3 linked regions of the Kluyveromyces lactis genome follow. The protein of the gene in region 1 binds, or shares a complex with, the protein of each later gene. Links are inferred from orthologs where the notes say so. Each region holds a gene or a part of one and is shown on either strand. Other genes may lie near its edges.

What was found. The genes of interacting proteins can lie anywhere in the genome.
Region 2: the proteins of RPB3 (region 1) and RPB10 are in contact, whole or in part, in a crystal structure (PDB 3K1F), measured with the Saccharomyces cerevisiae proteins. The link is inferred for Kluyveromyces lactis from reciprocal best matches to the Saccharomyces cerevisiae genes RPB3 and RPB10. Residues at the interface, in NP_012243.3 of Saccharomyces cerevisiae: Asp16, Asn17, Val57, Leu58, Phe62, Arg66, Leu69, Ile70, Pro71, Thr110, Asn112, Tyr114, Gln135, Asp136, Glu138, Asn140, Gly141, Val142, Leu143, Ile144, Cys145, Lys146, Leu147, Arg148, Lys149, Gln151, Ala168, Lys169, Gly171, Ala174; in NP_014853.3 of Saccharomyces cerevisiae: Met1, Ile2, Val3, Pro4, Val5, Arg6, Cys10, Gly11, Lys12, Val13, Gly15, Asp16, Lys17, Glu19, Ser20, Lys42, Arg43, Ile57, Glu58, Phe60, Leu61, Arg62, Tyr63, Asn64, Pro65.
Region 3: RPB3 (region 1) and RPB4 share a complex: the UniProt entries of both Saccharomyces cerevisiae proteins name them as parts of the RNA polymerase II (Pol II) complex. The link is inferred for Kluyveromyces lactis from reciprocal best matches to the Saccharomyces cerevisiae genes RPB3 and RPB4.

The regions. Positions count from the first base shown.
Region 1 is NC_006040.1:1,362,295-1,365,283, reverse strand, and holds RPB3 (DNA-directed RNA polymerase II core subunit RPB3), read left to right. Parts: upstream 1-1,551; coding exon 1,552-2,475; downstream 2,476-2,989. Other genes in the region: protein translocase subunit TIM44, read left to right, coding at 1-295; KLLA0_D16192g (uncharacterized protein), read right to left, coding at 703-1,068; 1-(5-phosphoribosyl)-5- ((5-phosphoribosylamino)methylideneamino)imidazole-4-carboxamide isomerase HIS6, read right to left, coding at 2,723-2,989. UniProt on the Saccharomyces cerevisiae protein: DNA-dependent RNA polymerase catalyzes the transcription of DNA into RNA using the four ribonucleoside triphosphates as substrates. Component of RNA polymerase II which synthesizes mRNA precursors and many functional non-coding RNAs.
Region 2 is NC_006040.1:575,967-578,130, reverse strand, and holds RPB10 (DNA-directed RNA polymerase core subunit RPB10), read right to left. Parts: upstream 798-2,164; coding exon 585-797; downstream 1-584. Other genes in the region: dynamin-related GTPase MGM1, read left to right, coding at 1-59; NAN1 (Nan1p), read left to right, coding at 1,287-2,164. UniProt on the Saccharomyces cerevisiae protein: DNA-dependent RNA polymerases catalyze the transcription of DNA into RNA using the four ribonucleoside triphosphates as substrates.
Region 3 is NC_006037.1:539,734-542,216, reverse strand, and holds RPB4 (DNA-directed RNA polymerase II subunit RPB4), read left to right. Parts: upstream 1-1,296; coding exon 1,297-1,899; downstream 1,900-2,483. Other genes in the region: serine/threonine protein kinase YAK1, read right to left, coding at 1-672; KLLA0_A05775g (glycosyltransferase family 15 protein), read right to left, coding at 1,949-2,483. UniProt on the Saccharomyces cerevisiae protein: DNA-dependent RNA polymerase catalyzes the transcription of DNA into RNA using the four ribonucleoside triphosphates as substrates. Component of RNA polymerase II which synthesizes mRNA precursors and many functional non-coding RNAs.

The DNA.
Region 1 (2,989 bases):
ACAAGAATTGTTTGCGGACGGTAAAATTTTAGATATCAGAGGTGTAGAAATCGTCAGTGCCAAGCTATTACCACCTCAGGATATCCCTGTCTTGGTTGTCGGTTGTCGTGCTCAAGAAATTCACTTATACAGAAAAGCAAAGACCGGTGAAATTGCAGCAGGTGCTGAATCCAGTATATTAATGAGTTCTTACGCCATGGTTTTCACCAGGGATCCAGAAACTGTCGACGATAAGGAAACCGAAGGTTGGAAGATCCTCGAATTTGTCCGTGGTGGTTCCAGACAATTCACTTAATGACCATGACTCCGAAATTTTTACTCAGTACAAAAATAACAAATAATAATGATACAAAGCCAATACCTTCCCAACCTTCACTTACTATCGCTCTGGAATAGATTCATGAGTTCGTTATTTGGAAAAAACGGTGGCGGAACACAGCTTTCACTACCTAATCCTGTTCTATATTGCATGCCTGGTAATGTTATTCTTGGATTACTGCGAACTATCAGAGCGTATGAAAGAAATAAAGTGTTGGTTTTGGTCGTAATGTACATTAAATCATCATCATACTAAGTTAGTTTATATTTTACTATATAGATTATCGTCGTTTCTGTTTGACGAAGAAGGAACAGAACGACGACAAGAGAATTCGTGTTAATAGTATCCTAATCCTTCTATAATCCCTAGGAGAAGAAGTTCAGTTATATGTTTCTTGGTGGCCTGTATATCGCATTCTTACCAAATAAGTTCCTAATTATACTTCTGCCAATATTACGTCCTGCTTGTCTGCAATATTGTAACCATGGCTTGGCAACGATATAAAATAACGAGAGAAAGACACCCTGCAAAAATGGACTTATCAAAATATCTCTAGCAACAACTTTTGCAACGATATATGGTGTAATGGGAGGATCTACGACAGATCCATCAGCCACCGATAGAGTTAATTTATTCTGTTTCAAAGCTTCTTTCCTCAAGGACTGCTTAAAGGTCTGTTCAAATCGCAAATCTGGCAATGACGCCTTTACTGAAACTTTCTCATCCACACGGGCAATTCCTTTAGGCATGGTAAAAGGCTGATTATCTGTGGATAACTCACCTTATTTTAAATTCGGTGATGTGTAATTGTACTTGATATTTCGCCTATTGCGTGGGATCAGCTTTCTAATATGTTCAAAAACCGATTTGAAGGTCCTACAAAGAAGAAATAATGCTAATAAGAAAGAAATGGGGCCACTATTGTTCGAAGAAGTTAACTATAGGTAATAAAGGCTATATATACATGACTCCGAGCAATATTATTCTTAGCTGAGCCTATTTGAAACAGTATTGATGGAATAGTCCTATGCACGTGACCAAACGCTGCCAAAGCTCAAAAATTTTCCAACTGAACAAAAGTGAAAAATTCATAAAACAATAATCGAATGCACCAAGGGAACGAGAACAAATCATTTCGTTGCTGTAGTTTGGTCAATACTCTGGTATTTGATTGAGCAAGGAGCAGGTCATATCTTAGGGAGAAATCAGAGTTTAATACTGCGAAAGAACAAATGAGCGAAGAAGGTCCCCAAGTAAAAATTAGAGAAGCAACCAAGGACAACGTTGACTTTATACTTTCTAATGTCGACTTGGCTTTAGCAAACTCGTTACGTAGAGTCATGATATCTGAGATTCCTACACTAGCCATCGATTCTGTTGAGATTGAAACTAATACTACTGTGTTGGCAGATGAATTTATTGCGCATAGACTTGGGTTAATTCCATTACAAAGTGCAGACATTGATCAAGTTGTATACTGTCGTGACTGTTACTGTGAAGATCACTGTGACCGTTGTTCAGTAGAGCTAATACTACATGCTATCGGTGAGAGTGAATCCACGACGAACGTTTATGCTAAGGATTTGCAGATTACCAGCGATTTGAAGGGTAGAAATATTGGCCATCCAATTATACAAGACAGAGAAGCAAATGGTGTATTAATCTGTAAACTAAGAAAGGGACAAGAGATAAGAGTGAAATGTATCGCTAAGAAGGGTATTTCAAAAGAACATGCGAAATGGTCACCATCAGCAGCTATAGAGTTTGAATATGATCCATGGAATAAGTTAAAACACACAGATTACTGGTACGAACAGGATGCAAGGGACGAATGGCCTCAATCTAAGAATTGTGAATTTGAAGATCCTCCTAACGAAGACGAGGATTTCGACTACAGGGCCAAACCTAATACATTTTACATAAACGTCGAGTCTGTTGGTTCCATCACTTCGGAACAAGTCGTCGTACGTGGTATCAAAACTTTACAGGATAAAGTAGCCGACATATTATTCTCATTAAAGAAGATGGACCAAGAGAAAGTTAATTTCGCAGCAGGAGCTGTATCTACGCACGTATCACAACAAGTGCCGATGGAAGAAGATATGGATCCTTATGGAGGGCCAGTAGGAGGCTCAGGATACGATGATGCATGGTGAGACAAGACAACAAGAAAAAGCTACCACAATTATCGTGAAAGGCAACGATTTTTCTATAATTCATTGACGAAACACAAGGCATATATTCCTTAATACTAGCATACTCAAAGGCACTAGCAGCATCTGCTACCATCCAATCTACCACGTCCGTTCAAAAGTTGAACGGTCAAAAATGTTTCAATATCTCTATCTCTATATAGAATGTTTATTTCCATCGAAAGTGTAACTATTAGACAAAGACTGGAAGCTAAGCGTGTTTCTCATGGTTCCATTGGACACAGTCCTCGAACTTTACAAGGGATCCACCAAAAATATCAAGAGCACTACCAAAGGTCAAATCAATTTTGCCATGACTCAATTTCTCTACTAGCCTTAAATCATCCACACTCTTAGCGCCGCCTGCGTATACGATTTTCACTTTTGGAATATCCGCAGTCCATTTGTACAAATGAGCCACTAGCTCTTCATCAATCCCATTACATAGACCCTCTACATCTGCTGCATGAACCAAGAA
Region 2 (2,164 bases), about 790 kb from region 1:
TAGATTCTATTCTTATGTTCAGAAAATCCTATAAGGGACTGTCGAAAAGAAACCTATAATGATCACTGTATCCTATACAACCGCTTCTGGAACACTTTATAATGACTACTATTTACGAGATCACTGTATATAAACAAAACTTAATCTTAATATGTTTCTACATGGAAATATGCCAACATCTTATGTAAGGCTTCCCGTCTTTAAATAATTAATGAACTTTTTAAAATCCCAACATACCAAATTTATAAAATCAGATGAATATGCTTTATTTAGGTGATGTGAATAGTATACAATGCAATAGTACATGAAATAGAATTGTGTGCATGCGTGCATGCGTGCTTCTTGTGCTTTCTTTATTTGTCGTTTCAGCAGCTGAACAGAAGTTACAGCAAACAGATGGTAATTGAAACTCAGTGGTTTTGTCTATTCTGGAGTCCATACGTCGAACGTAATAAAATGCAAACAAAGAACGCAAGAAAACAACGCGGTAGTAACCAGTGGCAGAAAAGTGAAGACGTAATTAAAGAGAATGGACCATTTTAGTGTAGAAGGGGGTATCGCAATTGATAGTAAAAGCAGACCACCTAATCTCTTTTTTCCAAAGGATTGTATCTCAAGAACTTTTCAATCAAATCGACATGTGTTAGAATCATTCTTCTGCAACAGTATCTCTTCAACCCCAATCTAGTCAAAGCAGTACCTTCTTCTAGTTCTTCTTCTTGCAACATATTCAAATAGGCTTCCCATTTGTCACCGACAACTTTCCCACAGGAAAAACATCTAACTGGAACAATCATCTCTCTTTAAAAGTATATCGAAACGAAAAAAAACCTAGAAACCTGGAAACCTGGAATAAACCCTCCGAGATTTATAAACTATCACAATAAGTGGATCAAAACCTGCTCGACCTTTTGAAAACTCATATAATTTGCATCACAAATCATCATATTCAACCAGCTTTCTTAATTCTTAATACTTTAATTTTTCATCGGTTCCAAATTTTTCATTAGATGCCCTTATATGTCACTTCTCACGATAGAGATGACCATCGTTTCTTTTCAAATCCTCGTCCTGCACAGGTTTCAACCATAAAATTTTCCAAAACTACAATTCTACATACGGTGAAAAAAAAGAATCCACATTAGACAAATAATTGAAAAGATGCGATGAGCTTATGAGTTATATGATGAGCTTGTCTTTTGAGAAGCAGAGAAAGAAAATACCAAGAGTAGGATCAGCCAGAGGCACCAACAAGAGTATCAGCTGTTATCGAATCCACGTTAAATATGCCAAACTCTTCGTTACCAATGTACAAGCTTTCTGTTGTTTCTGGTGGGAAGGTCGCTCTTCCTAGGATTCACAATAGATCCGCGACTAGAAAATCGGTGAGTTGTCTTACTCAGGACGGGTCAGCATACATTGTCCCTTTCAACAATCAGTTCAAAGTGTATTCAATTGATACTAGACAATGTATTAAGACATTGAAATTTGCTAATAATGATATTTTGACTTCGATACTCGATGAGCCTTCTGTAGAGGTGGTGCATATCGAGCCTATTATTGACGATGAGATGGATAAGATCAGAGTGTATACCAACACTGCGAAAGTAGTTATATTGAAGTATAAGGGTAAATTAGCCACGGAGATTAAAACTTGGTCTTTGAATATTACTGGCGAGTTATTTGCAGTTCTTGGCGATGGGAAGAAATTACTTACAGTTCAGAAAACAGGGAACTCTTACAGATATGATCTATATGAAAACGTTGAAGAGAAAGAGGAAGAATCTGAGGTTAAACACCTTGAAACTTTTGAGAATGTTTTACTTTCAACTTGGTCTAATAACAATAACTACCTTGCCCTAGTTTATTTGAACCAGGAAACTAAAAAACATGTGCTGATCAAATCTATGGTCGACAACAGTTCAGTTCAGAACTTCCCAGTACCATCTACAACATCTAGTACCACCATAAATTCCCATTTTGTCACTGCTCTTGCGTTAGATAACGACGGCCAGCAGTTGGCTATTGGATTTGCATCTGGTGTTATAAATTTGATCAATCTACCTGATCTGTCTCATAGATTATTGAAATGGCATATCGACTCAGTCCTATCCTTAGGATTTACAAATGACAACGCATATTTACTGTCTGGTGGTTGGGAGAA
Region 3 (2,483 bases), on another chromosome or scaffold:
CCTTGACGACGGAAGTGAACTTGAGCCGCCACGCGTGCTCATGTATGCACCTGCAGTAGCGGGATACACAGAAGAATTTATGGAGCCAGCCATATATCCCGCAGTATTAATTCCAGGTTTCCTAAGCTGAGATGGTTTCGTTACCTGCTGTGGCGAAAGTTGACTGCCACCAGTGACAGCAACCGACTGCCTTCTTTGTGCATCATTATAGTTGGGAAACGGTTGCTTCTCATAAAGGAACGGATCAGGCCCTGCCGCACGCGCAGGTGGTATTACTAAAGATGAGTTTCTCCTTCTGAACTGTTGTGAGGATTCATCTACAGCGTTATCTTCTTCGTAAGTAGTGGGCAAGGGGAAGTTGGATTGCTTCCTCATAGTAGACCTCTGAGACTCAGGTATCTGGGGAATCTCTTGCCATGGGTTTTTGAATATCGATTGACGTGGCGACTGCATTTGGAAACCACCAGCCGCATTTCCGCCTTGTTGCTGCCCTGCATATATATTCCCGCCTGCATTGGAGCTACTCCCAGCTGGCCCATCAGGCGCAATCTCTGGGCCCTGATTCTGGGTATTTGCCTGCGTCTGAGAAAAGTTCTGGTTCTGATTCGAACTCGACGCTCCCTGCTGAGAAGCCATGAACGCAGGGTTCCAAAGGCTATTCTTATCCCCCATTTATTATATATCAGATTATAGTCAACGTCTAACCACGTTATTGCAGCAAAATATTAGAAAAGCCTCTCTTCCAACAAAGAAATGACCAATTCACAACTCAAAGTTTCAACGGAAATACCTTTTAAACGTTATATCGACTGAATAACCCTGAGTTTCGCTTAAAGAACTTATAGCAAAACAGTAACAGAAACAAAACCAGCTAAAGAATGTACGCCTTCCTATATTAAAAAACAGCTAAATTCGAATCTGGCTATACCTAATCACGATGAGTACCAAGTACATACAGCGCTGCCCTAAAAATAAGCCCTGGTGTCCTGTACAAACAAACAGCTTTGCCAAGATTCACTTTAATACCTTAAATACAGAGAACATTCATGTCATGAAGTCATAGGGCCAATATTCTGATGTTGAGTTTTCGCATAATTACCGTTAGGAAAAAAAATGGAAATTCAATTACGATTAAAACGAGAGGTAAACTAACTTTGTCACTCGAAACATCAACTGGAGTTACATTTATCTAAGTTGTACCGTTGTCAAAGTGGCTGATTACTGGAATAGCACTTTTTGTGATTACACTCGTCTACTTTTTTGGACCGCTCTTATAGATAACAGCTCGAATTTACCATGAATACATCTACATCCACTGTTCAAACCAAGAGACGTGGGTTGAAGAAGTTTGTTGAAGAAGAGAATGCTGCCACTTTACACTTGGGAGAAGAGTTTAATTTGAAGCAAATCAACCATCAGGGGCAGGAGGAAAACCTAGTGGCTTTAAATTTGAGTGAGTCTCGTTTGATTATAAAGGAAACGCTACAGAACCGTCGGAAATTATTCAAGACATGGGCAAGCAATGGTGCATCAAATAAGGACGATGACATGGATGATGAAGATAACGTCAATGTGCATACCCAAACACAGGAGAAAGAGTTACAGGATATAGATAGATTGCTTGAACAGACCACTGGTGGACAGAATCAAGCGTTGAAGCAGACCATGATATACCTAACGAATTTTTCACGTTTCCGTGATCAGGAAACAGTAACCGCTGTATCACAGCTTTTATCATCCACAGGGTTGCATCCATTCGAAGTGGCGCAATTGGGTTCTCTATCGTGCGAAGATGCAGATGAAGCCAAGACTCTAATTCCAAGTTTAGGAACCAAGATATCTGACGAAGATCTAGAAAGAATCCTAAAGGAATTATCGAATTTGGAAACTTTATACTAAAACCTATGTACTATATCTTATATATATCCCCGGTTTCACCTCTGCTCCATCATCTAATAAATAGTTTGCCGGCACCGTTTTTCCACCATCTCATCAAGCAACTGTTTGGGTGGATGGGAATATTAGATTCGCCGTTAGGATCACACATACAACGGAGCACTAATCGTGCTGATATGGACGTGGGACATGTTTCAAATGGAACATGGCTGTATCCAATTTCATCAAAGTGGTGGATTTCATTCTTGTCTAGAAGTAATGAGGCACCTATACTGTGCACGGGTGCATCACCCCAACGTTCATAATAAAACCCACCCTTGGAGTCCAAGTAATTGAAATACTGAAGATACTCGTCACTTCTAAAGAAATTTAGATCTCCAATTTCGAAATTGGACCAGAAATGACATAGATTATAGTCTGTATTCGAATCAACAACAGGGAAAAAACGTCCCACCATCGTGGTATCCGTCAAAAAGCTTAGACTGTTGTTAGGATGTAGAATTTCTGGATAAGTATCCATGAATTCCTCAACAGCATCCCATAATGTCGTTACCGTATCCTCATATTCAAAGATAGATATCACAAAT